Linked DNA regions of Coturnix japonica. The protein of the gene in region 1 purifies or fractionates together with the protein of each later gene. This does not show direct contact. Links are inferred from orthologs where the notes say so. Each region holds a gene or a part of one and is shown in the gene's direction. Other genes may lie near its edges. The genes, in order: FAM120A and RBM45.

Evidence for each region.
Region 2: the proteins of FAM120A (region 1) and RBM45 purify together in Homo sapiens (co-immunoprecipitation; 3 studies listed by BioGRID and IntAct, with this or other methods). This does not show direct contact. The link is inferred for Coturnix japonica from reciprocal best matches to the Homo sapiens genes FAM120A and RBM45.

The regions. Positions count from the first base shown.
Region 1 is NC_029527.1:4,462,989-4,478,638, reverse strand, and holds part of FAM120A (constitutive coactivator of PPAR-gamma-like protein 1), read left to right. Parts: intron 1-4,259; coding exon 4,260-4,388; intron 4,389-4,862; coding exon 4,863-4,959; intron 4,960-6,028; coding exon 6,029-6,129; intron 6,130-6,394; coding exon 6,395-6,678; intron 6,679-7,986; coding exon 7,987-8,074; intron 8,075-9,308; coding exon 9,309-9,533; intron 9,534-12,187; coding exon 12,188-12,362; intron 12,363-15,650. UniProt on the Homo sapiens protein: Component of the oxidative stress-induced survival signaling. May regulate the activation of SRC family protein kinases. May act as a scaffolding protein enabling SRC family protein kinases to phosphorylate and activate PI3-kinase.
Region 2 is NC_029522.1:13,801,823-13,817,983, reverse strand, and holds RBM45 (RNA-binding protein 45), read left to right. Parts: upstream 1-1,247; 5' UTR 1,248-1,287; coding exon 1,288-1,647; intron 1,648-2,234; coding exon 2,235-2,357; intron 2,358-2,499; coding exon 2,500-2,626; intron 2,627-3,849; coding exon 3,850-3,960; intron 3,961-4,300; coding exon 4,301-4,480; intron 4,481-5,100; coding exon 5,101-5,230; intron 5,231-6,367; coding exon 6,368-6,464; intron 6,465-6,826; coding exon 6,827-6,993; intron 6,994-7,776; coding exon 7,777-7,969; 3' UTR 7,970-7,973; intron 7,974-10,891; 3' UTR 10,892-15,082; downstream 15,083-16,161. UniProt on the Homo sapiens protein: RNA-binding protein with binding specificity for poly(C). May play an important role in neural development.

The DNA.
Region 1 (15,650 bases):
TTTACCCAGCAAAAATATCTGTCTAATCTCCTTGGCTGCTCAGTGGAGGGACAAAAAGAGATGTTTCCAGAAGACAATCCAGAAATATGCAGGTTAGACTGCTTCTGTGAATTGCTCCGGGTTCTTGTCTTTCTCCGTTGACTTCAGAGGATGTCTGCCAGAGGGAGACTAGTAAGCAAAGTAGGTGCTTGAAGTGCTACAGATTAGATGCTACTTTTAAAATATGGTTAAAGGGTTCTCATGCTGAACATGAAGGATCATCACAGTGGTGAGTCAGGCTGGAAAGGGCCTTGAGAGGTCATCCAGTCCAAACTCCTGCTCAAAACATGGTCAATTTGAGGTCAGAACGGGTTGCTCAGTGCTTTACCTAGACTTGCCTTGAATACCTCTGTGGTTGGAGATTGCCCAACTTGTCTGGGCAGCCTGTTCCATAGTCTGACAATCCCCATGGGAAGAATGTTTTTTCCTGGCATGTGAGCTTGACCCATCTTGTGTCTGTCTGTACCTTTTATCTGTTGTCCTTCTGCAGTGCATGCATCGTCTGGCTCCATGCTTTTGATAAGCTTTTAGTGGGTATTGGAAGGCTGCTCCAAGGTACCCCCAAAGCTTTGCCTCTGCCAGGCTCAGTAAGCCTCAGTCCCTCAGCCTCTTCCGATAGACCAAGCTCTCCAATTCCTTCACAGTCTTTATGGCTTTCAACTGAGCTTGCTCAGCTTTCTTGACCTCTCCCTCATACTGAGAGCCCAAAGCTGAATGCTCTGTTGGGGAGGTGATACAGTGAGCTCCCAAGACTGGTCAGCTAGCTGTATTCTTGGGATGCCGGCCTGGTGCCAGCTGGCCTCTCCTCTCTGCCTTGCTGACTCACCTTTGGCTCGTCTCAGGCTTTCACAGTGCAGCTCCAGCTTGCATAGTGACCAGGTGCAGTGCTTGCTTTTGTACTTGTTGATTTGCTTAAGATTCCTGGTGGCCTGTTCCACTCGCTTGTCTAGGTCTTCCTGGATGGTAGCCCAGGCCTCAAGCTCATGCTGCTGTTTAGGAATGTCATGCAGATCCTCTTATACCCTATGTGTCTGTGTCATCCCTTGAGTTTATGCTTGCGCTCTTCCCTTGTATGTAACTTTCACAGGCCAAGACAAGATGCAAACAGTTTGCACGGGATCTCGGTAGAAATTACTACACAAAAATAAGAAAACACAGATAACTTGCGTTCCTCAGGTCTTCAGCCTTTTCTCTTACCTATGTATAAAATGTTCCCTGTGCATCACCTCACAATAACTAAGCAGTCAAAGTCACTTTTTTCAGTGGTTTGAAAATAAATGTGAAATGATAATATGTTTCCAGCAGGCACAACAGTAAGCGCTGGTACTAGTGTTGATTAGCCTTTAAAGGCTTTGTGGCCAGGAGATGGTGGCAGCTCTTGTTTTTCCAAGCGTAGCTTAAGTGCTTCCTCCAGTATCCTAATAATCCAGTGGAGTTCCACATATGTGAGCCTTTTTCCTTCTGATAACGTAGTTTAGCAAGTTGGTTTTTGTCAAATCCAAGGCTTTTTAAAAAGATGTTATCTTTAAGTGCAGCTGACAGCAAGTCTGAATCATTAACAGGTTTCCTGTAACCTGCCTAATAAATGCTGAAGATTTATCTTACATTTTAATTCACACATGATTAGAAACTCATTTCTGATCCAGTGCAAAACTGAAATTTTGGGTTGCTGGAAAGTTGTAACATGAAATCTTAATAACAGGAAAGTTGATCTCATTTCTCCGCTTCTCTGTTTTGGCTTCTGTGGGAGCTCACAGGACATTTCATTTTGAAGGTGTTCTCACTTATGGGCCAGGAATCTTCTGAAACAAAGGCAAAGAAAAACCAGATGTCTGAAATGTCTCAGAACCTGTAGTGCTGTAAATCTGTACTTCAAGAAGGTCTCACATCAGGAGTTAAGAGTGTGCCCCACTGCAGTCCTCAGGCTGTTGGTTTAAGAGCAGCTGTGGTACGCATAGTAAGCCTTAATTCGTCTCACTTGAGCTTTGGACCTGCACGGTCTGAGCTGAGTGTCTCAGTATCTTCTCTTGATACTGTTTAATGTTTTAAGAATATTACTATCTTGGAAATGACATCAACCTGAAGATACTGCTTATTCTCTTTGCCCTCTGAATTTTGAAGCAGACGTTGCAGGAACACTTAGGCAGTAAAGTGGGATTTCTCCAAGGTGCTCTGCAGAGAGCACATCTAACATGACACAGCCATGTTGTGATTCAGCTGCATTAGAAATGTGCTGTTGTTATGTGTACAAATAAAATGGTAGGTGTTCCTAAAACAGCTTAGATTAGAGAAGCTATTTCTTCTGTTTGCAGATTGGAGCAGAATTCCCTTATCAATCAGTATTTTTACCTGTAAGCTTATGTGTGAATGCGATCTGTGTTTGGGATTGTTCTGTACATTCAGATTGCATGCTGCTGGAAATTTAAATTTACTGTCTGCAAAAATAAAAAGAATAATTAAAATAGCTGCTGTGCCACTGACTAAACTAAATCTGACTGTTCTTTATTCAGGCTTAGAAAATGTAGGGCTCATCCCAGGCAGAGAATGCCCAGATAGAGAATGAATATCTTGACACTTCTAGACATGAGGGGAGGAAAATTAATACGAATGGGAATCTGAGCAAAATTTCCATGGTCTAAATATTAAAGATGTGTAAGAGTGCATAATAAATGATCCAACACAGGCAGAGGAGAGAAAGTAATGTGGTAGACTGCATATGAAATAAAGAGGACTTGTGGATTTCAAGTTGCAGAGTGAAACCTAGTGAAGTGTTAATAGGAGTTTTGCATAAACGTTTCTGACAAGGCTGAATTGCAGTGTTTTTAGTAAAGTATGGTTCCTCTGTAGAACACAAGCATAAGGATTTTTTGCCTTTTCTGGTATCTAAAAACTAGAACTCTTAAGCAATAATTGTGACCTTTCAGATCTTGAGTCGCCGATACATTTGAAGTGGGCAGTTAAAAGTTAAAAACCTGGCTGCCCGTGGAGCTACTGATAGAGTGCTCCGGAATTGTACGAGGTTCCAGACAGACATCTTAACAAGCTCCTTAGGCATTCCCTGAAATGTAGGGCATGCAGTCAGAGCTGAGGCCTTTCTTCTGCCCGCATTGTGCAGAGCAGTGGGAAGGCAGCAACCTTCCTGCAGCGAGCAGCTCTTGAGACGCAGCTCTAGCACAGCTCCCAGCTTCTCAATTCACAGTGGGCTGTGGTGGTTGCTTGTCCTGAACTTCCCGTTCGGGATCATGCAGTACATATGAGAGAGGTAATTCCCATGATCATATGCTGAATAATCCTCAGACTATTTTCAGGATGCTAGATATAGAGGAGCCTATTGACAGAGTTGAGATGGAAGGCCACGGTTTCCAGGGCTATCCGGTTTCCTTCCTTTCTCCATGTGAACACTGGAAGGGTTCAGGCCGAAGATCTGAGTCTAAAACTTTCTGGCACAGCAGCGGAGCCATCTGCAGTTGTCAGCTGCTGAACTGTGGGAGCTGCAGCGGCTTTGGAAGTCATCCCATAAAGTTCTTCCAGCTCTTTCTTCTTACTACAAACAGAGTTCTTGTGCTGTAACATCCAGAGCGATTCTTATCTTCTCAAACCCGTGGCCTGAGTCGGTGACCAGTGAATTAATGGGAATTCATTATTTTCCTAAGGTCTTGAGTAGGCTGTACTCTGGGTTCTGTAGACAGAAATATGTATGGTCTGGAGTGTCATAAGCTTGAGGGAGATTTTTAGCACACTTTTACTTGCATGTTTCTTGTGCAGTCAGAACAATTAGTCAGACACACCTGACATCTGAGGATAGAACATTAATTATTTTCATTCTCTCTATATAAAATGCATACGTTTATATTATTAAAGAATTTTTTTTTAGAGGAAATGTCCAGCTGGAAAACAGTGTAATAATTAGCGTTCTTGACCTTGCCTGTTGTTGGATCAGGTACTTAAGCAGCAAATATTTACATAGAGTTGAGGTTTCTATTACATACATGTAGATGCATATGTACATGTATATACTGTAGATGTGAAATACACAAGTCATCATTTAACTTGAAGTTTTGAAAGCAAGGTGCAAAGCCCCAAAATGTTTAGTTCCTAAATCTGTCAACGTAGACTTTGTTCAATATATTTTCAGTAGACAGTTGGGTTAATTCTTTACTGTGTAAGTGAAGGATCTTGGGCTACCCTGTTATCTCATGTCAACGTGTTTATTTTCATAGGTACGTGCTCACCAGTTAGTTTTACCACCTTGTGACGTAGTGATCAAAGCTGTAGCTGACTACGTCCGTAATATTCAGGACACCACTGATTTGGATGCCATAGCAAAAGACGTTTTTCAGCACTCACAGGTAAAGTATGAAGAAAATATTGTTTGTTTGTTTGTTTTAAACAATTGCGCCTTATATTCGCATTGCACAATTGCATTCAGTAAAAGTAAGGTCTTGAATCAGGAGATACGGGAATCTGTTGTTGTATGCAGTGTCGTAGGTACCCTAATGTAATTGTCTGCTTTTTTGAAAGAAAAAATTATTACACATAGTCACAGTGCTTTGAAGTTTAGTTCTTGATAACCAAAGAGGTTTTGTAGTCTGGCTTTGTGTATGTGAAGATATGTAGTGTTTTTCAAGCTTTATCCTTACAGGGGCTGACGTAGTGTTTTTGGTGAGGGTGAGTCTCTGTGGCTCCATAGGCATTAATGCTGTATGTGATAAATCACATATAGTTGACCGTAGTTGACTACTCTGCAGTGCTGTGCTTACCTGTAGATGCCATGCCTGGATCTGATCCTGATAGATATTTCTTTTTGTATTTATTTATTTTAGTCTAGAACAGATGACAAAGTTACTCGATTTAAGAGAGCAGTTGCTTATTACTCAGCAACTAATAAACCTATGCCATTTCATCCACCACATTACATAGGTAAGTAATTAAGAAAATAAAACTTCTCACTTTAACTAAAACCTGATGTAACCCAAAGTTATTGTTGTAATAACCCTCCTTTATTATTAGGGTCTTATAAAAACATACACTCAGGCAATATTCATTAACATTAGAGTACAATGTTACAGAAAAAGTTCTTTGCAGTGGTTGTTCTCTTCTACTAGAAAGAGTAACAACCTAAACTTACTTTCCTCTTTAGCTGTTGCTGAGTCAGGGCTAAGCATTAGGTAGCATCAGAATGTAGTGCTGGCAATGAGTGAAAAGCAGTGTCTACTTCCAGTCATGAAGACAATTTCTTTTCCACAATACATTTCATACTCCTCACTGAACATACCTGATGTTTTTTATAGATCCTTTCCAAGCCTTAGGTTTATTTTGATGTCCTAACACATGTGCTTAAGCTATAGAGACTAATTGATACCTATCTCAGGTTGTTCCAAGGTTTACAAACTAACCTTGTGACCATAGCACTTAGCACATATACCTCATTCTTAACATTAAAATCTTAATTGGAGCTGGAATTTTCCAAAGATTTTGTTTCTGTACTGGTATGCTATTACTTTTGTGGGTTTTTTGGTCTTTTTTTTTAAGCTTTCAAAAAGTTACAGTGAAAAGTGTATTAAGGCTATGCTAGATCCAATATTCAAGTGATAGAATGTGCTGGTATTACGTGTATTTATGACGTTGTTTTTTGCCAGCTGCTTGCTTATCACATCTCTTGGGCTTTTTTTCTTCAAAGCTTCCTTTTGTTTCCAGGTAGAATAAAATTATTGTGCAGTAGGGAGAGAGGAAAACAGTTGAGAGGATGTGAGGCAGGTAAAACAGACTTCACAAGCTACAGAATATTTCTATTACGAGTTAAAAAATGAATGAAATTCACTTAAGGATTCACATAGTGGAGAACTGCTAACAGAACAAGAAAAAATAAACCATGAAAGCAAAAGGAAAAAAAAAACGGTAAAAACTGTGTCAAATAAATAGTGAGCGTTTTCATGAGTGGTTTTCTTTTCCTCCTGTTTGTTATTTCTCCTCCCCATTTGCAATGCAGCAGCCAGACCAAATCAGTTTGGAATGCCTGGGATAGTGCCACCATATGTTCCTTCTCAGATGCTTAACATTCCACAGACCTCACTACAAGCAAAACCTGTGGTAAGTGTATCTCTCTGCCCTTCTCCTTGAGAGAAACCTATCATGCTCATTGAATTAAAATCTAGGTGGGAAAGGCTATGTCTCACTTTTTTAGCCTGTGTGTTCACTGATTACATTTTCAACGTGGAGCTATAAAGATGAATGCCCAAGGTGGATGAGATTTCATGTGCACATTAGAATAAATAATATATGCTTTTGTTTTTGGTTTTCTTTTTGAAGTGAATCCTTATAGTTACCTTTATTTATAAACATTGCTGTATTTTAGGCCCAGCAGATGTCCAATCAGGGTGGTGCCCAAGGTCAGGGTCCGTACCCGTACAGTCTCTCTGAGCCAGCCATCACCTTGGAAACAGGTGGAAAAAATCTTTCTGAGCAGAACAACTACAGTAACATTCCTCATGAAGGAAAACATACACCATTGTATGAACGATCTTCTCCAATAAATCCAGCTCAGAGTGGGAGCCCTAATCATGTGGATTCAACCTATTTTCCTGCTTCTTCTACATCATCCTCCTCCGACAACGATGAAGGCAATGGAGGTGCAGTGAAGTAAGTTGTTCACAAGGATGTTTTTCTGCTCTTATTTTCAAAATCGTTCAGTATCCTGAAAGTAACCAAACCTGCTTATTAACGATGTGATAGGCTGTCAGAAAACAGTGTTAGGTCACTATGACTGTGAATATATCCATGGTTCACTCTTGTCGCCTTGTTCCTTAATGAGCAGGAATCCAAAACCAAATAACGTTCAGTATTTTTCCACTTCTGGTCTTATGTTTTATTGAAAGAAGGAAGGAGTGAGATTTTGATAAATGTCATAAAACCTCCCCGTTCTTTTCTTTGTATCAAAGAAATACTGCCTCACATGCAGTTCATTAAAATTTCTGTAGCTAAGAACTGGTTTGCACTTCCAATATTTTGGGGTAGTGTGGTTTTGCAGAGACACTTGATGTGAGTGTCAGAAAGCTGAGATGCTGTGACTTAAGAGCTCTCATTGACAGGCTATGTATATAACTATGCTGCAGTGAAATTGGTTTTGTTCTCCTACTAATGCGCTTTGTTTACCGCAGAAGTGTTTTAAGACTTCCACTAGATCGTATGTCTGTCCTTGGCAATAAAGTTGTGCAGACTTCCTTGTAATTACTGCTTACTGACCTACAAAAAGGAAACGTGAACAGAGGCAGTTTGTGTTCACCTTTTGTCTTGCTGGGTGTAGTAGCTTACAATGTGAGAATCAAAACCTGTGGCTTTAGCAGGTCTGTGATAGCCTCTGAAGGATTGTGTGTCATAGTATAAATACGCTTCTACTTGATACTGAATTCTGAACATATCTACAGTTACAGTGGTTTGGACTTGGTTTTTCTGATGCAGTCTGTCAACTTTAAGTACGTTATCATGTGTTTTGCAGTGCGGAACTGGAAAATTACCCCCTTTACACACATATAAAGTATTTTTCAGTGTTTTTTCTTATAGTACAGTTTTATGGAATACATTTTGAATTAATTTGGAAATGGAAGTCTAGGCATTATCACTGTTTGCAGTCTTCTGACCAAGGGAAATTACTTGGCATGGTGACAGGTATTTCAGGATCAATCAAGAATATTTCCTGCACGAACATTATTTAGTCATTGTAAAGGATTCCCTGTTACTTTGAAATATGATCCAAGTATTGTTATAGTGTAAATGAATAAAAGTAGGGATCTTGAAGGAACTTAGATATCTATGAATTGACGTTTTCTAATACGCAGCGTGCCTTAAAGTCCTCTCTGGTTAATTGTTGGATTAACAGCAACCAAGGGTTCATTGCATCTTAACTGGTACTTTAATGCTGTTTTTTTTTTTTTTTATGCTATCCTTCAGCCATGTCAGTGGGAACAAAATCGGCTGGGAAAAAACAGGAACCCAGTCAGAAAGTCAAACACGTGGAGACCTGGGAGACCAAACAAAGGTAATTCCTTCGGAACAATGGAGTTCCATTCGTGTCACATAACCTACATTGTAGTGAGGGCAGCTCTAACACAGTATTTAAGCATTAGCTATGGGCTATTATGGGTGTATTAAAGCTCAGATGAAGAGTGGAAGTCCTTTACAAGTGCTTGCTAAGACTTGCACTTAATGTGTTGAATAACTCCATGGGACTAGCTACAATGTATTGCTATTTAATTAAGTGAAGGTGGGATGATTAAACCATTATTAAAGACTTAACATTATCTGATTTATTTATTTTCTTCCAGATACAAAATCATTGTCAAATGAAAAGCGTGATGATCTGTTTCATGACTTTGAGCTGTTCTTAGAATGTTGTGATCATTTGCATGCAGTACTTGTGCATTTTTGTGATGGAGCTGTGCTCCAGCCATTGCTTTTGTTTCAAAAACAATTAAATAAATCAAAGCAAAGAAGAAAACAATCCTAAATAACTTGTGCTGTGGAAGAACAAAGCATTTTCCCTGTACCTTTCGTATAGAAATTCCAGTAAATTTTGGCTTCGTGCTTAAAATATCAAGCTGATGATTTCATCCATCGGTGCTTATTATTTTTGCAGACTACGCCCCGCACGATAACTGTATCTGCCTGTGGATTAGTCACCATATGCAAATGCTAATGTGACCTATTGCATTCCTTTCTTGTCTGTGCCATGGCCATGCACAGAGCCCGGCACACCCAGGCTGCAGCCCTATGTGCACAGTGCTGCCCTGCAGAGCAGATATGGGGGCGGCTGGCAGGGCACTGCTCCCCCAGCTGGGTGATGGCCGGGTGGGACGTGCTGCAGGGCACAGCTGCCTGCCTCTTTGTACATGCAGAATTAGGGCTGTGTAAGCAGTGATTCAACTTTCCCGGAGATGTATGCATGCAGTCCGACTTGAGTGCAACCAATTTAATTTGTTTTACTTACATGCTTTTCTTGAATATCAAACCACTTCTTCAGCCCTCAGTAGCAGAAGGCAGTTCCATCTCTTGAGTACACACTACAATGCATTCTGTACCACAAGCTTTAACCATTTATTCTATATACTATCACTTTCCTAAATTGAAAGTCTGGTCTACCAACTCCAAAATATAGTCTTATAGTAACGTCCTCTTTTATTGTGTGCTTAAATGTACTCTTAAAATACTATTTCCCCATTGGCTGATCTTCTGTATGCATTAAAAAGCGCTTGATGTTGTGTGTTCTGTTATAGGCAGAAGGTTCCTCTAGTGCTTCTTCAGGAAGTCAGGCAGCCGATGTCAAAGGGAATCAAACCAGTAATCCACAGATCCCATGCCTGTTGTCAATGCCCACCAGAAACCACATGGATATTACTACCCCTCCATTACCTCCAGTAGCACCTGAAGTATTAAGAGTGGCAGAACACAGGCACAAGAAGGGGTTAATGTATCCCTACATCTTTCATGTCCTAACCAAGGTATGACATTTTAAAACTATGTGCTATAAAATAACCTTTTGGTAAAGATAATTGCACTTATGTATCTGGCTAAATAATTTTGTACTTTTACATCCTGTTTTAAGTTTTGAGTTTTGGTCTGATTTTAGTGTTTCTAGCACTTTTTTCACTTGATTTTTAACCACTGATCTGGGCTGACATATTGTTGCTGTAGGTATGAGGTGACTGTTACTACTGTTTATTTTAAAAAGACAAACAAACCAACTTCTTTTGACTTTAGTATTTTATTTTGATACTTTTACATACCCATGTTTGTGCGTGTGTGTATGTATTAATTGCCCATTTCTAGAGTGTGACATGTGCTTTGGTGTTTCAGTATTAAACAGTAATTAGATTGTTTTCCCTCATAATATAATCCTTCCTGTCCTTAGTAGCCAACCCCAATAAAGACACAGCATCTGTGATAAATCCCTTTTGTTGAATCATAAAATGCAATTGTAGAACTTGATGATGCTATGAGTTCTTTGGTCACTGATTTATTTTATGTACAATTCTTGAGATCCCAGGTAAGCTGCAAGCACTTCCACACAGCTTAGGCCGCTTTCTCTGCAGTATGTTGGGTTTGGGGGGGGTGGGAAGAAGAAAAAAGTCTTAAATCCGTGGCCACATAGGAACATCTTGAAAAGCAATGGGACAGCTTCTTGCCAAAGTAAGTAGTGGAAGGAATCACAGCAGTGGAGCAGCTGTGTTCTGCACAGCCCTGTGTTTGACTTACTTGAGTTCCAAAAGAGATGAGTTCTCCTCATTGTTCCTTCTGAGTGCAAACAGAAGAGTCCCAGAAGAAAACAATGAATCCTCTTCCACTGTAGTGTTCGAAGCATTTAGTACCGGTTCCTGTACGTCTGGCCCATTCACTGTACATACTTGTACAGCAGAAGGGCACTGTCCACACTGCTGGTCATTTGCATTAGTCTTAAAAAATCCATTTCAGGCCAATAAGGACAGTAGACTGGAATTTGAAATGCACAGAAGGAAAGGTTTGGGTTTCCTTCTATTGCTGTCATGTTCTTGTACTTCCCATGTTTATCAAAGAAAAGTGCAACAAGGGAACTGTGAAGACCATTGCAGCTCTGTTTCAGAGTTTGTATAGCCGTAAACTCTTAGTACATTTAAATACTGCTGGACGTTTCCTGTCTCAAAATGAGAAGAAACTAATTAAACACCTGAATGTTGGGAATTTTCTCCTAGCAGAAAAAAGAAATGAATCTAGAGACTGTCACAATATAAATCAAATGAATCAGTACTGCTTTTTGGTTTTATTCATCTACTACCTGAAATGTTTTTTAATATTTCACTGGCGGACCTCAAGTGTGCCAGAAAAAATGTTGACAGGTTCCTCCTTGAACGGTTTTGAGATGCTTTAGAAATTGGCACACAAAGATGTTCTGTGTTATGCTGTTGTTAAACATATAGAGAAACTTTTCACACATCCTTTATAGCTAACTTAGTGTTGTCTGTATACAAGATAAACTCTTTTTTGTAGTAATTCAACCATATATCTAATAGTGCAGATAAAATAGAGATCTTTATGTAACCTAAAGTGATACAAAAAGGTCGAAGCATGCTAGTAACTTCTGTGTAAATATACACCTACAGCTGTTTACAGCTTCCACCAGTTTATGCATTTTATCTGGCTTATGTTGATTATAAAGGCTTTTGAGCATACAGAGTGCTGTAGTGCTTCCCTGTATCTCATCCCTTTACTGGAGAGTTTATTTGGGAATATCATCAATGTAAGAACAACACTAAAGGAAGCCACATTGATGGTGAAAAGGATGAGGTTTGTTCTTAAGAGAAGTTTCTTGTTGAGGTCACTGATGCCAGAAAAAAAGAGAATGTTGAGTAAGCTTTTAAAGGTATTGATTCTTGACACCTTTACCAATAGGAATGAGTAGTTTTCCAAGAAAAACTGAGCATAGTTGGATGCACATATACTGAAAATACAGAACATTGCTGCTATTTTAAGAGAGCTGGAAGGTCTTTTCATGTTTTGTTTCTGAAAAAGAAAGCATAAAATGCTTTACCCGCATCTAAAGCAACATTACTTACACAATCCCCAGTTGCAGTTGTTTGGCCAGGCCTTCTCTTAATGTTATTTTTCACACTGAATCCCCCCCCAGTACTGTTTCAGATCCTTGCACCAAACCTTCCAACTGGTGTTTTTAGGCAGCGTGAATATTTTTTTAATGACTATGTTCAATCTAGGCTGATTTTTAGCATTTAATGTTCAAATGTGCTCTGAGTGTCTTACTTCTATAGGCACGTTACGTTATTGTCATACATACTGTTTTGGTCCCAGAAGTATCTGTATGTAAAAATCAGTATTTAGATAATCCAAACAAAAAGAACAAGTGTGTGGTGGGGAAAAAAAAACTGCATAAGTGATGGGAATAATCAGAGCTCAGAGATTTACTGGCAGAAAGGAAGTAGATTGCAACAGGGTAATCCTTGTCTGGAGTTACCTTCACATGCATAAGATCCGTATTATTGCTGAATCGCGTCCTTGACAAGGTGGGATTTGCTTTAGAGCTTGATTGAGTTACTGAGCATACCTAAATACTTCATTTTTGCTCACTCTAACGTGTCATGTTTTTCTGATTTCTTTCATGGAAAAGGGTGAAATCAAAATTGCCGTTTCTATAGAAGATGAAGCCAACAAAGACCTGCCTCCTGCTGCTCTGCTTTATAGGCCAGTTCGTCAGTATGTTTACGGAGTCCTGTTTAGTTTGGCAGAAAGCAGAAAGAAAACGGAAAGACTCGCTTTTAGAAAGAACAGACTTCCACCAGAATGTATGTACTGTAGAATCCATTCTTTATTGCTCTTCCCCTCTGCTATGTTTCCCTTTGTACTGTAATTTGAATGAGAATAGTTAATAAGGTTTCATGAATGTAGCTATAGAACTGGGGGAATTTGTGGCTTATTTGATCCGTGGATAATAGAAGATGTTTTGAATTTGAGATGTTGTCTCTTGAAGCTTAAGAACTTTAAGCACTACCCTTTTCTAAGCAAGTTCCGGGGTTTGTTTTTTAGTGTGTTCAAGCTGCTCTCAGGCTTGAAGCAAATAATGTTATTTGATGGAATTTTCAGCATACATGTCAGATCCTGATTTGAGGAAATTTGTATTCTGAGCAGTTCTATGCAGTAACTTTCAAGTGCTGACATAAATATGTGGTTTAAAATCTGCAGAAATGAGGTGTGATTGTAAATAAAAGCAGACTAAACCTTTGTGAACAGGCTTGTCAAAAGATCTTTTTGCTGATTCAGTCAAAAAGACGAGTGTTAATCCTTATGTTAATCTGGAAGTTATCTTCTTAAGTTTTCTGCTTCTAGGAATTACTTCCAGAAAATTCAGTCCACTCATTCTGGAGTGTTTTACTTATTTATAATGAAATGCATGCAAGGAAATGATTGAACTTTACAGTAGCATCTTATAAAGGTTAAAGCGGTGCTGAAGCATTAAGTGGATAGCAGCGGCAGAAGTACGTATTCATATGTAGAAGTCTACTGTCTGTACAAAATGCAAAAAGCAGATATTGAGAATGTCTAAAAGCATTATTCACAGCCTTGAAGTATAAAATAATATTCAGTTGTTGTGTATATTCATGAGGAAAGTGGCAATCTGCCAACAACAATTGAAAAACTTCTACTCTTAGTTATGTTGTGGGAATTAATATTCACTCCATTCAGTTGTCTCATCACACATTGTCAAAGGCTTAACTCTTTTAACTCAAATAAGAGTATTTCAGGTTGCGAGGTTATTTCAGGATTAAAGTAATGAAGTTACTTACATTACCTATTTGCCCTCATTAGAGTTTTGTCCTTAAGTGTACTACTGCACTTGTAGTAGTGAAGTAACTCACTACTGAAGGTCTGCTTTGATTTTTCAGGATGATTTCTCCTTGTAAACCTGGAATGTTCTCTGTAGACTATTGGGATACCCATCTAATTTGTCTTCTAATTTATGCTGCTTTTCAGAGGTTTATTCTCATTGGAGACTAAGAAAGCTCCTGCTAACCTTGTTTAGTAACAGCAGCTCCAGCAAATACTATTGCAGGACGCATTCAGTTACCTGACCTACTTCTATTTTAGAACTGGCCATGCTTTAAAAGGGAAAAAGAAACCAACAAAAATTGGCACATCTGCTCAAACATGAGTAGTTTCAGCACAAAGCTACAATCGTTGGTAAAGGTAGATTTTAGCTAAGACAATAGCTTGCGGTTTGAAAGGGAGTAGGTTACAGGAATGCATTTAATTTGGTCATCTCAGTTACAAAACAGCAAGAACTGAGCAGATTGTGCAGGGTACAGAGAACAGCATCCTAAACAGCAAGAGCTGATTTCTCAAATATCCTGTATCACACTCAGTAGCTCCTACTGACTTCTCTTAGGGCTACAACACAGGCTATAGTGAACAGATGATTGTGATTCTGCTTTTATTGCTGCTCTCTAAAAACAAGTACATATGAAAGAGTAATTGGCAGAAATCAGAACAATCAAGAGAACTAAATTTCTAAATGATGTGTGTTGTCTCTATGTTTATGTAGGCAGTTGATTCTATTAATACATCAAAAATTCTGTAGTTGTACAAACCATAGCACTGGCAACATATTGTATGTAAATAATTTCCAGGTTTACTGTCTGTGAGGATTAGAGGAAGCTGTGAAAAGTGCAGAATAAATTTGGGGTGTCAGTACTATTACCAAATACACAGACAGTAAGAGAATTGACCTGTCGTCGAATAGATATTTTCTGTCTTTTAAATCATGATTATTTTTATGCAGTTGAAAAGTCAATTAGAAACAACAGATCTGTTAGAAGTAGTGAGGCTTTTTAGTAGTAATTGCCTGCTAAGTAACGCCTTTTCTGGACACTTTCTCATGTCTGCTCCCAGAGGATGTGAAAAGCTGAACTGCAACATCTCTCATTGTGCTTCTAGTGCCAAGGGCATGCCATTGGCTCTGCTCCTGTGCTTGTGAGAGGAGATAGTCAAAGTGTCTGACTTGCTCTTCTTTTCAAGCTCTGAAACCATCTGCCCCTTCCACTCTGGAGAAATGCACACTTGTACAAGCTGCCGTTACTGTTGCTTGGATCTGAGGATTTGTTATTTTAAGCTTAGCCACCTTGTGATATACTGTTCTCCATCAAGGATGTACTCAGCTGACACTGTTTCTGCCAAAAGGAAAATCGTATCTTGAGCAATTGCCCTTTTGCAAAATCAAACATGCTTTGCTCCAGCTGCACTTTCAATGAAGATTATGAGGTTAAAAGAGTCTTGATTAATCCGCATTAGCTGTCTCATTTTCTGAAGGTGTTAGTACTTCACATCTCATGGTCAGTTTGTGGAGGGAAAAAAAATGCTAAGAGAATATTACAGGATCATAGTGTATCCTAAGTCAAAAGGGACTTATGAGGCTCATCAGATCCCTTGTAGCTTGGGGCTGTGCCCACAGTCTTGGGCAGTCTGTTCCATGCCCACTGCCCTCTGATGAAAGTGAATCCCCATCTTCTGGGCTTAATCCACCCCAGGATTTGGGTGGCCCTTTTGTCTACCAGGACACACTGTTGATTCAGATTCAACTTGCTGTCTACCAGAACCATGGATCCCTTTTCCATGGGTCTACTCTGCAGCCTCTTGTCCCATGGCTTGTATGTACAGCCAGGGTTGCCTTGTCCCAGGTGCAGAACTGGTGCATGACTTTGATAAACCTCATGCTGTCGGTGATTGCCCTGTTCTGTAATTTCATGAGAGAACATCTGAGTCAGAATTTGTCAGAAAACATTTGAGTCACAGGTAGCAGTGAAGGTTTTAACATACAGCTGGAGAATGCTGGATGCTGTTGCTTATGACTTTGGAGCCTGTGATATTCATGTATATTATATATAATCATATTATCAAGCAGGTTACCTCAGTGTAGGTTGGTGTTGAACTTCTGCACTTAGACTGACCTTCAAGTGTCTTGAGGGTGATGTTCAAAGCAGACATCAGTATATTGTACCATTCCTTGGGCTACTGTGAGTATTCAGATCTACTCATCAGCAACAGGAGGAAATTTATTGTGAAAAACAGTATAATTAGTT
Region 2 (16,161 bases), on another chromosome or scaffold:
TCGGTGCGCTCTCACTCCAGGTGAACATAGTTCCTTTGAACTATGTAAATATCTTTATCATTTCAGTATTTAGATGGCCAAACTGCAAATGAGTGTACACAGAGTGTATATAGATTGTTGTTTTAATGAAAGTTGTGGTCTGCGAAAGGACCTTAGAAAAAGTTACCAATGTCCACTCCTGGATTGTCGCAAGAGAATTTGAAAAAGCATTAATTTTTCCTTTCAACCTTGCTAAGTTCTGCCCATCAGCAGAAGCCTGCTGTTGTACAGGAGACTACTGAAGTACCTGATGATAATGATCTGCTCACACTTATGCACAATTGACTCAGATATCATTTGGTTGGTTTTCTTTTAGAATTTCGTTCTAATGTTCCTATCCTTAGGACTTTTTACTGTTTGTAATTACTTCATTTGAACATGGTTTAGATCAAAATAATATCCATTCAAAAGGAAAACCTGAAAAAGAATACACAGACTTATTTTCCATTTGTAGCTGTTATGTTGCCTTTCAAGACTGTACTAAAATACACGAGGCGAGTCATTGCTTACTGGTAGGTGATGGTGTTTAGTCAAGTATTGCAGAGTAAAACAAATGCAGCACACCACAGTGTCAGTAGAGGGTGGTGACGAGCAAACAAAATCCAGAAGCGTCCTTAACAGAAATGAAAATTTGCCCATAGATACTGCACAGTTCTGGGAAAGCTGACCTGGCGTAATAAATAGTGGCAAAATTTCTTTGTAATTTATAGGCTGAGTAATTTTGCTTCTGAAATTGCAGTTTAGATTCATTTTACGTTTACGCAAAGCAGATGCTATGAGAGTAACTCACTGTGAATGAGCCTCAGTGTTGTATGTAAGGAAAACTTGTTTTCTTTACCCATGTATGTTCCATGCAGCACCTCGTGTCACGTTGCTTCACCTTTCTTCTTGTTTGCCTCTGAGTAGGGAAATCCTGCACTTGTCCTGTTCTGCAGCCAAATAAAACCCCAAAGATTTGGTCCTGTCTCGTGCTTTCCACCTTTTTCAACTGTGTGGCACTGAGGACATCTCTGAATAAAGATCTTCTTGCCTTTTTCAACATCACCCATTTTGCACTACGTAAAAGAAAAATAACAATAATGGAATGATATTATAGACAAGTCCTCTCACGGAGAGATCTCCTCGCCTTTTCTCTGATTGGATTTTAGCAGACCCGAGGGGCGGGACTAATCCCTCCGCCCTCCTATCCAGCAGGCGGTGCGGCTCTGCGCGCTGTCCCAGCCGTACACGTAGGGACGTGGCGCGGCCATGTTGTCTCCCCGGCGGAAGGAGCCGAGCGGCGGCTGTTCGCCCAGCCCCGAGCAGAACCAGCGCTCCTCTACGGCCGCCATGGAGGAGAGCAGCGGGATCCGGCTGCCGGCCGAGTGCCTGGACGAGCCGCCCAACAGCCGCGTTTTCGTGGTGCTGGGTAAGGACGCGGGCGAGGCGCTGATTCGGGAGCGTTTCGCCCCGTTCGGGGACATCCAGAACATCTGGCTGCTGCGGGACAAGCGCACCAACGAGTCCCGAGGCATCGCCTTCATCAAGTTCGCCCGCAGCTCGCAGGCCTGCCGGGCTATGGAGGAGATGCACGGCCGTAGCCTGGTCCCCGACACCAAACCCATCAAGGTACGGCCGGGCTGAGAAGCGCATCCATCGCGGCATGGGGGGAGGGCCGCACCCAAATAGAACTTTCTTTACAAGAGTGCTTTGCATGGGTTTTGTATCTCGTGTACGAGCTTCTTGCATTTTTAAATCTATGGAACTTGATGGTAGGTTTCAGCCTCTTGAATTGTTTTTGTATTCCTCAGGTAACTATAAAGTGTGAATGACTTTGAACGTTGAAAGAAGTTTCTGTGCACCTTACTGTGGGAGAAATGCACTTTTTTTCTTTCTTGTTAATACTGTCCTACCAGGGCTACCCAACTGCATTAGAGCAGATGCCCTCTGTGTCACTGGAACAGGCTTTAATATTCCTCGCCATGCTGCGTTATCCTTATGGGGTCTTGTGCTGCCTTCTGTCCTGCTTCAGAAACCACTTTGAGTGTACTGTTCTTACAGGTCTTCTGTTGCAGTTGCATCTGTGACATGTTATTTTACTTACTAGGAAAACTATATAATGTGGATGAGGAATACAAAGATTTGCTTAAAAAACTAACTTGGCATATGGCTAGGACTCTTCTTCCAGTAATTAATGCTTATGTAGTTTTTGTTAGGTATTTATTGCACAGTCAAGAGCTTCTGGAAGCCACCGAGATGTTGAAGATGAGGAGCTTACACGAATCTTTGTTATGATACCAAAGACCTATACAGAGGAAGACCTGAGAGAGAAGTTTAAGGTGCTGATTCACTGTTTGCTAAGGATTTTAAATTAGCTTTTTTTTTTTCCTTCTTTTTTTTTTTTTTTCAAAAGAGCTTAAATCATAGAACTTTAATGTCTTTTAAAATATTGTGAATTAATACATTTCTTAATCGTTCTAGATGTATGGAGACATTGAATATTGCAGCATCATTAAAAACAAGACTACTGGAGAAAGCAAAGGTTTGGGCTACGTGAGGTACTTGAAACCATCGCAAGCTGCCCGAGCAATTGAGGAGTGTGATCGAAGTAAGAATCTCAATGAACTCATTAATATTTTTCATGATAAATGTGTGCCATCATACCTTTAATTTTTATTTTTGTTTGCATGTAAATTATTTATGGTGTAAACACATCTTGAGACAAAAGTTGTGTTGCAAATAAAAGGGGTATTCCTAATATTCACCCAATAATGTTCTTGCATCACCAGCCTGTGGAAGGAAGATCAGTGAAAAGAGTGTAGAAGCTGATAGTGTTTGTCTTAAATTAGGTGGTATTCTCATTTGGACTTCATACGCAGGACATCATCATTTTTAAGAATATATGGGAATATGTTTTTAATCAACTATATATTATATATGTAATAATGCATTTGATAATCCATAAGGATTCTGTTAGGTTTACATTTAACCTAAATTTGTTCATTTGCTCTTAGGTAATTTAAGTGTTTTTCCCTCCCCCTCCTCCCCCCTTCCATTTAATATCAGGATGAATGTATTGTAGAAACTAAGTCTTTGTCCACTTCATGATCAACCATTTGCCATGTATGCCCCGGTACCAAATAGTTGTTAAGGAATTGGAATATATCCATTCTCTAATGACTGGTAAAGTGCATGACCTGTGAGGAGAGGGCTCAGGGACTGGGCCTGCTCAGCCAGTAGAAGAGAGGCTTTTGGAGAAACCTGTCAGCAGTTTTCCAGTCCAACCTCCTTCACTTACTCAATATTAAACACTTCGGCATGTAGATTTAGGTTTCTTGTCACTGTTTTATTCTTTTTGTTGTGTGGGTTTTTTTTTCTCATTTTTGTTTAAGTAATATGCTTGATGTATCATAAGGAGTTCTGAACAATTGTTATCCCTATGCAAGAATACTCACAAAAATGAGTGATATTTATTAGTAGTTAAATTTTATTTCCTTTCTGATTTGAGTTTGAAATGAAATGGATTAGGTGGCCTAAGAGTTAATGCCTAATCGATTGATAAACAGATCATAGATCAGCACAGAGCACTCACAGGAGTGACTGTTATAATTCTGTGGAAGTTCAGCTGATTCCCTCTGGAGCATCTCCAAGTCCTGCCAAATATGGTTGAGGTTGGAGGGGACTTCTGGAGTTTGTCTTGTTTGGAAGCACAGCCAAATGGCTTTGAATATCAGTTAGGTTATTCACAAGGACATGCCCCGGTCTTTTTAGGTACTGGTGTATGGTCAGTCTCAGAGTAAGCAGGCTCACATGTGTGATGGTTTCTTTCAGGCTACCGAGCCATCTTGGCTGAACCAAAAAACAAGTCATCCGAATCTTTTGAACATGAATATTATAGCAATAACGTAAGGCAAGAACCAAGAGGAAATGTATTTCCATTTTGTAAGTCACAGTTTGTTTTTTTTTTTACTGAAAATTATTTGCAGTCTAATCACAATCTAAGGGCTGTTTGGAAGAAGGCAGTCTAAAGGAAGCCGAGTTTGACAGCGCAGATGGGATGTTTGAATTAGAAATGACTTGGGCTTTTCTCTCCCATATTCTTATGACATACTTTGGTCTAGTAGACTGATTATTTCAAGACCTGCATTCAGGAAATACACGTATCACTTATGGTGTATAATTCGCTTAGATTGCTTCTAAAATTTGAATGAAAACTATATATGAATTGAAGGCATAGTTAATATAATGAGTTTAATTGTTTATTTTTGTGTTGATTCTTGAGGTGCTCAGCCAGAGTTCTGTAGTTTTGAAAAAAATGAGACCAGAATTCAGGAGTCAGTCTCCAAACGTCTGTCAGTGGTATCACGACTTCCTTTTATCCAAGAACAGCTGTTTGCCCTCTTTGATCTGATCCCAGGCCTGGAGTATTGTGATGTTCAGCGTGATCCTCATACTAATAATGGTAAGAAAAACTACAAAAGTGTTCTTTCTTCTATGAAGAGAACTATTTTTTTTTTTAATTAAATTGTACCTCAGTTCATTTGTACTGCAAAATACAGTAGTTACTAGAAATAATTGGCTTTTTTTTGTGTCAGTGGTGTGTGTGTAAATGAGTGAGTAAATGGAATGAAATCATTACAAAACGAAACTTCTTTTGTATTGAAAGAATTTTCTGGTTTCAGTATTCTTATTTTTCTATAGATGAAAAAAACATTAAGGAGCACTGTGAGGTGTGAAGTGGAAATGATTCAACTACATTGTAACTTTACAGTACTACAGTTGGAATAAGTGTGTTTTAAGATGATCCCTCTGACTGAGGGTTAGGCAAGAAGACATGTCTTATGCTGCTGTATTATCAGCTTTTCAAATTGATACAAGCACAACTGATTTGTCACTAGTTAATTTCACAGAAGTTTATTTCACAAATATTAATGTTGCTAGTAAGGAAAGTACTGAAACTAATGTAAAGAGACCAAGAATTCTGGAGCATCTATGTAGTTTGATCCTACTTCTCTATGTAAGTGTACCTTGTTCTTAAGAATTGCTTGTAAAGCACAGGAACCATGTGTGTTGTATTTGTAGGTTATGCTGTGATTCAGTATAGTACAGCTGCATCAGCTATATATGCCAAGTATAAGCTACATGGGTTTGAGTATCCTCCTGGAAACAGATTAACCGTCATTTTTCTAGAAGATGGGAATGATAGTTCAGAGTAAGTATCAATACATAGAAAATTTGGTAAGTTGTGTTCTGGAGAATGAAACTATTACTGTTTAACAATAAAAAGTAGCAGCAGTGTTACTAAATTAGTTTCACACTTGATGTGAGTTTTTTTTTCTTTATTTTTTTGAAGTTTAGAATGAGTATCTTGAATTTGAAGAAAGGTTAACATATATTCCTAAGACATGATAGGATATTTGGCAAGAATCCTTAAAGTCCCCTGTAATATGGAATGTGTTTCTAATGTGTTTGAGGCTTTATATTAAAATCAGATGTTGCTTATTTGATCTGCTGGCAGTGTTTGCAATGCTGCAGACAGCCGTGTGAAACACATGGGCAGAATAAAGCTGAGGATCTGATTCTTCCACTTGTATATGGGTTGCCAGGTTTTACTTCTACCAGCATTCAGATATGGTTTGAAGCTGCAAGTAAACTACATGCTTTCCTGTAGTGAATACTTTCGATTCCCTCAGGGAAGAAATCAAGCTATTTGAGACCTCAAAGCTGTTCTGATGTACAAAAAAACAATACTGTGCAAAACCACGATGGGAAGATTCACTGCAGAAGTGTTATGCCTGATCTAAGCTTAAAAAAAATAATTCATTGCAAATATCCTTTTTGCAAAGGTTGTCTTTTGTGGCCTTAAAACCTAGGCTGTGAATCTGTGCAAATGTGCAATTGCTATTCTTATCCCCAAGCAGAACAAAGGAAAGAATACTGAAGAATGAGAGTTGGAAATGAAGTTCCTGTGTTAATGTTCTGAATTGAATCCTTGTGCTTTTCTTTCTTTTAAGAAACAAGAGAAACTTCTGTCTCTTTTGCCACCTTGGAGCCTTTCACATGAAGTTAAGGGTTGTGTTGAGTTAGTGCTTCTTTTTTGTTATAATATTGGGAAAAGCCAAGGGAGTTTTGTTGCTCTGAGTATTTTCAGTGAGTTTCAGGTAGGATGTTTGCTTTCAGATTGAGTTTAGAGTGTCATGCAAGCCTCTTCTAATTATGTAGACTCAAGTGAGTTTTATTATTATTTTTTAATCTTCCTGTGTATCTAGGAAGGTTTATATTTTCTTCTTGCTGAAGTTAACTGTAATGTAGTTCTTGCTTTAAAACAGCCTGTTATCGCTTCTTGCAGCCTCATCAGAAAAATGGCAACACAACTGGTAACAGCACATATGACCTCAGTGCTGCGAAATAATAACGCAGTTGTTCAGCAGTATAGGACACCTCCTGTAAGTTCATGTGATGGATGCTGTTGGTAGTTGTTGACTTTGAATTAAGAAACTCCAGATGTGTCAGTAAAGAGCACAGCCTGCTTTCTTTTGTAATAGCTTTAGGTGCTACGTCTTTGAGAAATAACTGGTTGGTGTGGGTGGGTTGTTTTTTGGTTCTCTTTCTCATTCTCTTTGAATGTCTACCTTATTGGAATGTGTTATTCCGTCTAATGAAGTAGGTGAAGTAAACTAAGTAATTAAAATTCAAGTTAACTGTTAGAGGCTGTGTCTGAATAAGCCTGTCTCATCTGAATTAGATGAAATGATACTATTTTTCTCATAAAAATTGACTTATAGTTGAGTTACTTCTCCTGTTTCAGCAGGCATTTGGAGGAACCTCTGGCTCACCGTTACTTCAGCCCCAAACCGATGCTATACTTCCACCACCCAAAAAAAAAGTTCCACCTGACACTTCTGTGAAGGAAAGGCTTTTTGTACTTTTTCATCCTCATCCCTTACCTGTGACTGTATTGGAGGATGTTTTCTGGTAAGGCTTCTTATATTGATAAGTGTTTTCCTGAACTGTGGAATAATGAAAATAAATGCTGGAAATTAAAACAACAACAACAAAAAAAAAACCGAACAACAACAAAAAACCACAACAATTAAAAATAGTAGGAATGAAACAATATGCACTTCTGTTAGAATTCTAAGGTGTACTTTATTTTATGTACTGGATTTTCTAGTCTTGGTACTTACATAACTTGAATATGAATGAAATAGACTTCAAACTTGTTAAGGTACTGTCTAGGAATCTCCTGAGGATTTAGATTTTCTGTGAGGCTTTAGCTTTTGCTTTGTGAGTCATTTCAGCACAACCTTTTTGAAGATGAATCACAGCTGAACAAGTTCATTTAAATGCGATGTGAATGAATTGCCTCAAATGCCTTTGCAATTGTCTGGTGTTTTTCTTTTGGTGGTGGGGGGGGGGGGTGTTTTTTACTCGTTTAGTATTTACTGTGTGTGACTATTTCATGGAATAGCTTTAGTGATCCTAAAGGAATATGTAATACTTGTGCTTCTATTGCAGTATTCTGTAGAAGACATTTCCTTACAGACCCCTGGGCTTATTTCTATTCTTGTGCAGAATTCTAGAATAGGGAATGAAAACTAGGACTTTTCAAGGAGGATAACACAAGATATTAAGGTGTATGTGCGAAAACATAGAATTTGCAGCTACTGAATTTTGTTGAGCTGGGATTAGATGATAAGTGTCAGTGCTGCAGCAAAACCTGTCAACTCTCTCCTTTGTTGCTGTTATTTTTTTCAGCCGTTTTGGAAATTTAATAAAAGTTTACCTTGTGGCTGGGAAAAATGTGGCCTATGCAAAATTTGCCGACAGAGCAAGTGCCAGTGAAGCCATAACTGCGTTACACGGCAAGATTGTGAATGGTGTCAGACTTAAAGTAAGGTTGGCAGACTCCCCCACAGAGGAATCTAACAAACGTCAGAGAACCTACTAAGTAGGTGAGTACCCAGTTGGAGTGGTTGCTTAAGCTGAAGTTCAGCTATTTGAAATAGTTGGAAGCAAAGAGTTTTGAAATTTTGTTGATAGCTAAAAATAAATTTAACTTAATTGGGGGGTGGGGTTATATGGTTTGTGTGTGTGTATAATGTATGGGTGTGTATATGCTTATACATGCACTTTTATTTTAGCAAAGAAATCTTTATTTTTTTAATGTTTCTACAAATATGAAATGATTAACAGTCTGGATGTTCATTGAAACATTCACTTAATGTACATAAAAGTATCAGGTCTGACTGAAAGAGTATTGGAAAAATAAACGTTGTAACTGAGACCAGCTTGCGTGTGTCTTCCTTTCATTACATACACGTGCCTTGAGCATGATGTTTGATAAAGATGCAGAGTTTGTCCCTGGAAAGGACAGATGAAGGAAGGGGTGTAAATGTCACAAAGCAAGACCAAAAAGGCAAGGCTTCAGTAATTTGGGTAATCTGGACTCTCAAATATCAGATGCAGCTGGAATGTGTGGTGGTGGAGGTGTATATTTAAAATATGAAGTTTAAATATTTTAGTTAATTATATGGCCAATAAACAGTGTCAGAGCTCATATATGGAGGTTTGCAACCAAAGCTCACTTGTTCTTAGGAAATGTTGGTTTGATTCAAATGTAAATATTACTTTAATACCCATTATGGGTATGGTTCTGAATCATTTCAGTAGCTGGTTTTCTACTGTTGGGGAGAAAACAAAAGAAATCCAGTTGTTTCTTTTTCTTCCTTCCCTTTCTCATTCTAAAAACATCACTTGAAATCCTAACTGTCTTCACATTGGTGTTTTACTTAGTGTCACACCTTGTCACTGCAATGTGTAGGTGTGTTCTGTGACCTGGGAGTTAGAAAGGCCAGAAAAAGATTTCACCTGTATGGTTCTCCCTCTTTTCCTAGGGAGTCCCATGTTTCTCTTTTGATAAGCGTCGGTTTCTAAAGGTCTTAATACTCTTCATGTACAACTTAAAAAGAAACAAAACAAAAACTAAATATGTCTGCATGGAATTGGAGCTAAAACTCTTTTGAAGCTTAAAAATTGGCAGGTCCAGTGAATGTAACTCATACCCATGTTTTTATCTTTATTCACTAAGTTCTTCTTTCTTAAATGTGATTATTATTTTTTTTTTCTTTAAACTTCTAGTAATAAAGGACCAAACCTTTCTGTCACTACAGGGGAAGCTATGATTTGAAGTGCAATGTCGTATCAATTCTGTTTTGACTGGAGGAAAACTACTTTATAGAATAGAAGAATAGTTATGATAAACATCCAAAATTAGTAGTAAACCTCAGAAAATGTTAATTCCTCTAAAAAATAATAATAATAATAATAATTGCAGGCTGCAGTTGTTTCCTGAGTGAAGATGATAGATACTGTCTGTTACTTGTAAGATTTGCTTTCTGTAAAGTAGTGTGTGAAAGTGATTTTAGTGTTTTCGGGTTAACTGCTTACTATGCAAAGAAGTTAAGAGTTGAGAATTCTTGGGTTTAGTGAGAAATTTCTGGATGTAGGAGGAGGGAATGTTCGTGTTTTGAGAAAGTATTGCTGTTTGTGTTGTAAAGGTTATCTGACTGAATGATAAGAAGACAGACCAAATAATTATTTATAGTCTAAAATCTCAGTTTAGAAGGATTGAGTCTGAAGACATGGATCAGTCTTAATCTATGAATATGCTCAAGTAAGCAAAGAGAAGAAGTGTGTTTTTTAATTACTTTTTTTTTTTTTTTTGGTGGGAATATATAGGATCCTGTGGCAGGAAGCTGATGCCAGATGTATTCACCTGATGTAGGGAGCCTGCTTTGGCAGGGGGGTTGGACTTGATGATCTTTGGAGGTCCCTTCCAACCCTTACGACTCTGTGATTCTGTTTTCACAAAGTAGAAATAAAGACCTGGCTCTTTTTAATGGGGACTGTCTGTCAGATGACTATATGGGGAAAAATCAAGGAGGATTGTGTCTTGATTCCAGTCTAACACTATTTATTTTTGTGGTTTGGGGTGTTTAAAATCTGAAACTGAATGCGTAATGGTGCTTTCTGCTTTAAAATGTCAATGAACTTGGTGTTTTATACTGTACTGCAATACAAAGAATGGATGAGAGTCTGTCATAGATGTCACAGACAAAAAGTGAGTACAGGGTGGAAAGCTTTGGTTATTACTCCAAAACAGTGGACTTTCACTGGCTGCAGAAGCTACTCTGTCCACTGTATTAATAGTGGGTGGGGTATCAAATTAATAGCTCTACTCTCCTGTTTTTTCTTAGGGTAGTTTTTTTTAATTACTGAAACTAAATTGTCATCTTACCCTCTAATTTTCCTAATGCTGCTAACATAAAAAGCGTAACAACGATTCTGCAGGTTTGCAAATTCAGTAAGGGTTTGGTTATTGGTGAAGGTTACTGAGATAAGTGAAAGGAGTACTTGGCAGCCTTCTTACTGTTGCAGAAAATGTTAATAAACAAAAATTAAGAATTCAGAAGATGCCTCTTATCACGAATCCCTGAATTGACTTGAATTTGTTTTTATTTCTTAAATCTTTCTCAAAAAAACCCTTCAAATTTAATGTTCGCATGATGATTTGCTGCTGTGCAAAAATATTTTAAAATAGGAATTATATGAAAGTTGAGAGATACACCAAATTAATAATTTTTCAAGTACTATTTATCAGCTGTGTACTGTAGAAAAATTGCTGACTTTCATGCAATGTTCAGAATGAGACTTTTTCTTAAGGAAAAAAAACAACAACAAAAGGACAAATGTGTGATGCTTAATGTTATTCTTCTGAATGTGTTAAGAGCCCTTATCACTTACGCTGTTGTAAAGCCAATAGGTATGTTGCTTTTTGATACTTTTTTTGTACTTGTGTTTTTTTCTGCAGAACTAAATAGTGACATGACCCTCGACTGACTGACTGACTGAAACGTGACTAGACATGGTTCCTGGGGACAGTGACATCCTTTTTTCCTTTTTTTTTTTCCCTTTCCTTTTGCATTGTTGCTCTGTTGATGTCGTGCTTTCTGTTTTTAAGAAGTGTGAACATGCAGTTATAAAAGAATCCAGCAGTTTTGAAATTGTATACTGACGATTGTTCATGTAGAATCCTGTTTTCTTGTATTCCAGAAATAAATATCTCGTGCTAAACTAAGCTCCACAAACATGGAAAATGCAGTGATGAGAGTCAGGTTTTTGTGGCTTGACCTGGTTAATTGATAGTGAATCAAATTGTAACTATGCTATTCTGAAGGCACTTCCAGTGACCAGAATGCATTGAAGTAAAGCAGTAAATTGAAAGAAAGCGAAAGAACTATTTCGAAAACTACTAGCATATTTGAGAGTATTAAGTCAGATTTGATAGAAAAGCCATACTCATGAAAGTGATTCAAGTACACTCTTGAATATTTCACTGACTTGAGCCAAAAGTATTCGTTATGCTTTATGTGCTATTTAGCGTAAAGGGCATTTGACTGTGGGTCAAGCTATCAAAGCTGCTTGCATTTATCATTTTCTTGAGGTTCTATCATTGTAACTACAGAAAAATGGAGTCTGGGAGTTTTCTTTCCCAGTTTTTCTTAAGAAGCTTCCAAAGAGTACATTGTTGAAGAACTGGTTAATTGAATAACAGTTTAGTATTTCAGCAAGATGAAGATGATTTGAGCACTGCTAAAGAGTAAACGAAGATAATTTGAATAAGTATTTGCAAAGATGATTGTCAAATACAAATACTTCCTGAATGTTATTTGTTGAATTGAAAAATGTTGGTTATTAAATGTTCACAGATAAAACTGAAATTCTAACTGCATGCACACTGCTGTACAAGCACGCTCTTTGTACCTGGCTTCCAACTCCTCCAGTGCTGATCCCTTGATCCTTAAGTGGGGATAAATAGCTGAGCATCCACAACTTCCTCTGTCTTTGAGCACTTTCAGAAAGATGTCCTTCCAAAAAGTCACCACCCCACAGGTAGGTGAGAATGTAGTTCCATGACTGATGTTCCTGGGATGAATTTGGCATTTGTTTCCATGTAGCTCTCTGAGCTTTAGTATCATTTTACCCTTTATGGACTCCTTGCTGCCTTCTCAGTCCCCCTTATTCTTTCCAAGACAAGAATAGTTGCTGACAAGAAACTTTTCCAGCCTTCTATGTCGTGCTCCAGGCCCCTGACCCTCCCAATTCAAATAGCCAGTGTGCAGAAGCATGCTGTCTTTTAAGTGATATTTTTGTGTCTTAAGTTATGCTTCTACCTGTGGTAGATAGCCTCCTTTTCTTGTTTCCTTTGTTCTTCAAAGAGCAGGAGGAATTAAGGTGTTGGTAAATATCTCCAACTGAGCTGAGGACTAAATCCTTTTTAAATCTTTCTCTGCTGTTTTACAGTATTAAAAGGCATATACCCATAAAAATTCTTTCCAGGCAGGAGGTTGCTTGAAGGGGAACACAAGGGTGTGAGATGCAGAAGAGTTTGATACGGTATTTTTAGCTGGAAAAATGTGCTTACTCAAAACATACAACTTCATCATTTGCTGTTTCACAGTCAGCGGTCTTGAAATACTGCCGTAACAATAATGACCAAGTCCTCTTGATTAGCTTTCTAGTAGAGTAATGTGAGTGGACCTACTGTAGGATTAATGCAATTCATACTTAGACAGTGCAAAACAGTTTCTATGCTGTGCTATTTTCAAGTGTTTTGCGAGTTGTTCTCTTATGCAAGATGCAGGCATGTCAAACCTTTTCTTTTTAAAACATGTGTTAAGAGTACCAATATTTTTACCTTAGGGATGGTAGGTAAGAATGAGAGCTGTTGTTGCAATTGGTTCAGCTACCATTTTGCTGGGGTTCCTTTGGAAAACTCCTGCATTTTTGTTTCTTTTTCCTTTTCCTTCCATTTGAGTAGATGTGGAGCTTTCTTGGGTTTCCTCAGGGGAGCAGTGCTGACCAGGATGCTATACGTCTAAAACTCTGGAATTGTCGAGCAGTATCTTTACAGACTTAACTATGCTGTGTGTGTGAATGCAGTAAGGTCAGTATTTTTGGAGAGCATCAGTTCTGCTGTGCAGATATGACAGTCATTCTGTCCTGTTGATACAGCAGCTCTGGCATGCTGCTGAATGCGCGTCATGCAGTGCATCTTTGCATCAGGAATAAGCAAGTGGTGATGTTCTGTGCCAGTGTAGAAATCTTTGCAGTACATGTGCAGAAGGTCCAGTGGCTTATTTTTTGCTTTTATTTTATTTTTTTACAAACTTGAACTAACTATTTGTGCTGCTACACAGGCACTGAAACTGAACTTTTTGCTTCACAAGACTTTTGCTCTTTTCTGCTACCCAAATAGAAAGCTTGGATGTAAATTGCAGGAATGTGTTTTTCTTTGCTCAGTGCAGCTGATTAGGAACTAAGTAGTGTTTGAGAGGATGTTTTAAAGCACAGCATAGTGATGTGCATGTAATGTAGGTGCATGCATAATGTTGAAGTAGTGGGAATCTCAGCCAGCACTTTGGGTTGGATATGATATTCATTATTCCCTGTTTCAACTGTTTTGTAGCACTGCCACTAAGTAGCTGTCACGTTGCTTTTCCAGGCCTTTTCATCAGAAAATGATAATTCTGTCTGCTGAGAGCATAAGCTTTAGGTACTGGAAAAAGAAACTGTATAATCTATATCGCTTTTGCTGGTGGTTATTGAATTGGCAAGAACTGCATAATTTTGGGGGGGCTCTTTTGCAGTAATAGCACAGTAATGGTAAGTAAAATTTTTCATGCTTATCTGTAAATGACTTGGATTTCAGCAGTGTTCACCAGCTGTAGTTTCTGCCAGCATTTAACAGGGCATTTGGTCCTTCAGCAATTACACTCAATGATATCCACTGGAAATTTTGTCCATTTGCTGAATCTTACCTGCATGGTCTGCAGGAGTGCCTTTTGCTTGTAACTGTAGAAAGATACTAATTTATGTTGCCACGATGTCTACATTAAAGTATATCTGATCGTTAATTGAAACAAAGCTGTTCTCAAGAGAGCTGTTTTGACAGTCTGACTGCAATTAGTTTCCTCCACTGGGTCTTCTGCCTGAGACCTTTTCCTTTGGTGGTAGCGAGGTTCTACTCGAGTACCTAAAATGGGAGCAGAGCCCAGGCTTGCAATGCAAAGTGGAATTGGCTTTCCCTTGCTTGCTCCCTCTCTTCCATTTAATGGTTCATTTTCTGTCCCAGGGTATTCAGTCACATTATTTCTGCTCTGTCTGCAGAGAATACTATCAGATGTCTGCAGTGCTAGATTACTATCTCGGTATGTGAGAGACAAAAAGAAAAATAATAACTGTGGAAGTGGGAGCAGCTAAACGTGGAAAAAGCATGTGGCTGTGTCCAGTTTAAGAGAGCATTGCATGTTCTCAGTATACCACTTCTCTGTACTTTATTTGTTAAATGCTTTGTCTGAGACCCTGCCGTAGTTATTCATGGAATGTCACATTAAAGTTGCAGTTATATTGATAAAATGCCTGCAAAACAAACTCAAGAAGAAATTATAAGTAAAAGGAAGGCTAACTATAGTAAGTTCACTGATTGGTATAGCAAAGGCACAGTCTACTGCCTTGCTAGGTAATTCCCACCCCTTTTCCAGCAGAGGTCACTGGTCTCCTGGATGTACCTACGTACATAGGATGCAACTTAAAACTGATGCTACTATTGAAATTCTCAAACTCCCTTCTAAGATAATCAACTAAAATGTAGTATTTTGTGAAGAAAGGGCCTGTATTGTTTTCACAGATTGAAATACCCTCAGATGATTCTCAATTTGCAACACGATTCAAAACCCTGTTTGGCATTCTAATTGAGAAGGCAGAATCCTAGTTCAGCTTCTTCCTGTGAATTACTTTGTAAACCATCTTTCTTCACAGCTGCTTATTTTTGAAATACAAATAATCTATTTTTACTTGTGTGAGTTTCATGTGTGTATTGGACTGTTTTAACTTGCTGTTTCATACAGAGGCTTGTTGTACTTTTGCATAATTAGCCTAATAGTTTTAAAACTATTGTTGAAGTAGGAAAAAATACTAGTAAACACCCAAGAACAATGTATACAGAACACATCTTTCTCTCATTTCTGAACGTTTCTTAGTATAAATTTCTCAGTAATAGATTGAAGGAGGGAATGAGGCAACAAAATAGAAAACAGTCTTAATTAAAGAGATAAAGCATGGGGTGATTGCCTTCATTTCTCTTTGCAAAAAACAGGTGAGTACAAAAACCAAATATTAAGATGGAGAGAACTGTGGTGATAAGGAAGCCAGCTGCTCCCTGATGTTGAGTACAGGGATTTTGAGCCATTTGGATGGGTAACTTCATGAATGAACAACGGAACCTTACAGGTTTCTCTGTAGTATGTTCAGTGTTGTTTTATTCTTTCTCTTAAAATATACAGTGTGACAGCTGCACTCACTGTATGGCGTGCCACTTGCTTCTCATAAGCACTTACTTAATATTACTACACCAGGATTGTATTTAAAGCCATGTCTGTAATTCAAAAATGTGTGCTTTCTGTTAAGCAATTATGTCTTGGGTAACTTTGTTCCTCAGCTGTGTGGTGCTTCTGTTGCTTCTTCTGGCACTGGCAGCCCAGCCCGTGGCTGTAGCTGCCTTGAGCTCATTGAACAACTTATAGCACAAATTTGCATCAAGCACCTTATCCGCAGTTTGTGCTTTTGGCAGGAGCAAACACAGCAAATTCAGCTTGACTTACAGAGAGGATCAGGCCTCCTAGGGCAAGCCTGGTGCTTCTCTGAGCTTCAAAGCTAAAGGTGCCTGCAGACGGCTCTGGTAGCTGAAGCCATAGAGGATGAAATGAGGCAGCTCTGTGTTGGTGATTGCAAGGTAAGAGTGCTTTGTGTAACACAGAGCATTGCTCAGCTGTGCTCTCTGCGGGTTAAAAATACAGAAGCTGTGAGGAGCAGCTGCTTGGAGTGGTGGCGGCTTTCATGGCCTTGGTGCCTTATAAACACCATAAATCACAGCTTTAAAATAACTCTTCAGTACTGTACAATCTATGCATCACACAGCCACACCACCTATGCATGGTACTTTTGGATTACTTTTGAATGGAAACAGCTACAAGAAGGAAAATGGTCATATGCAATTTATTTGTATCAGTGTGGACCAGA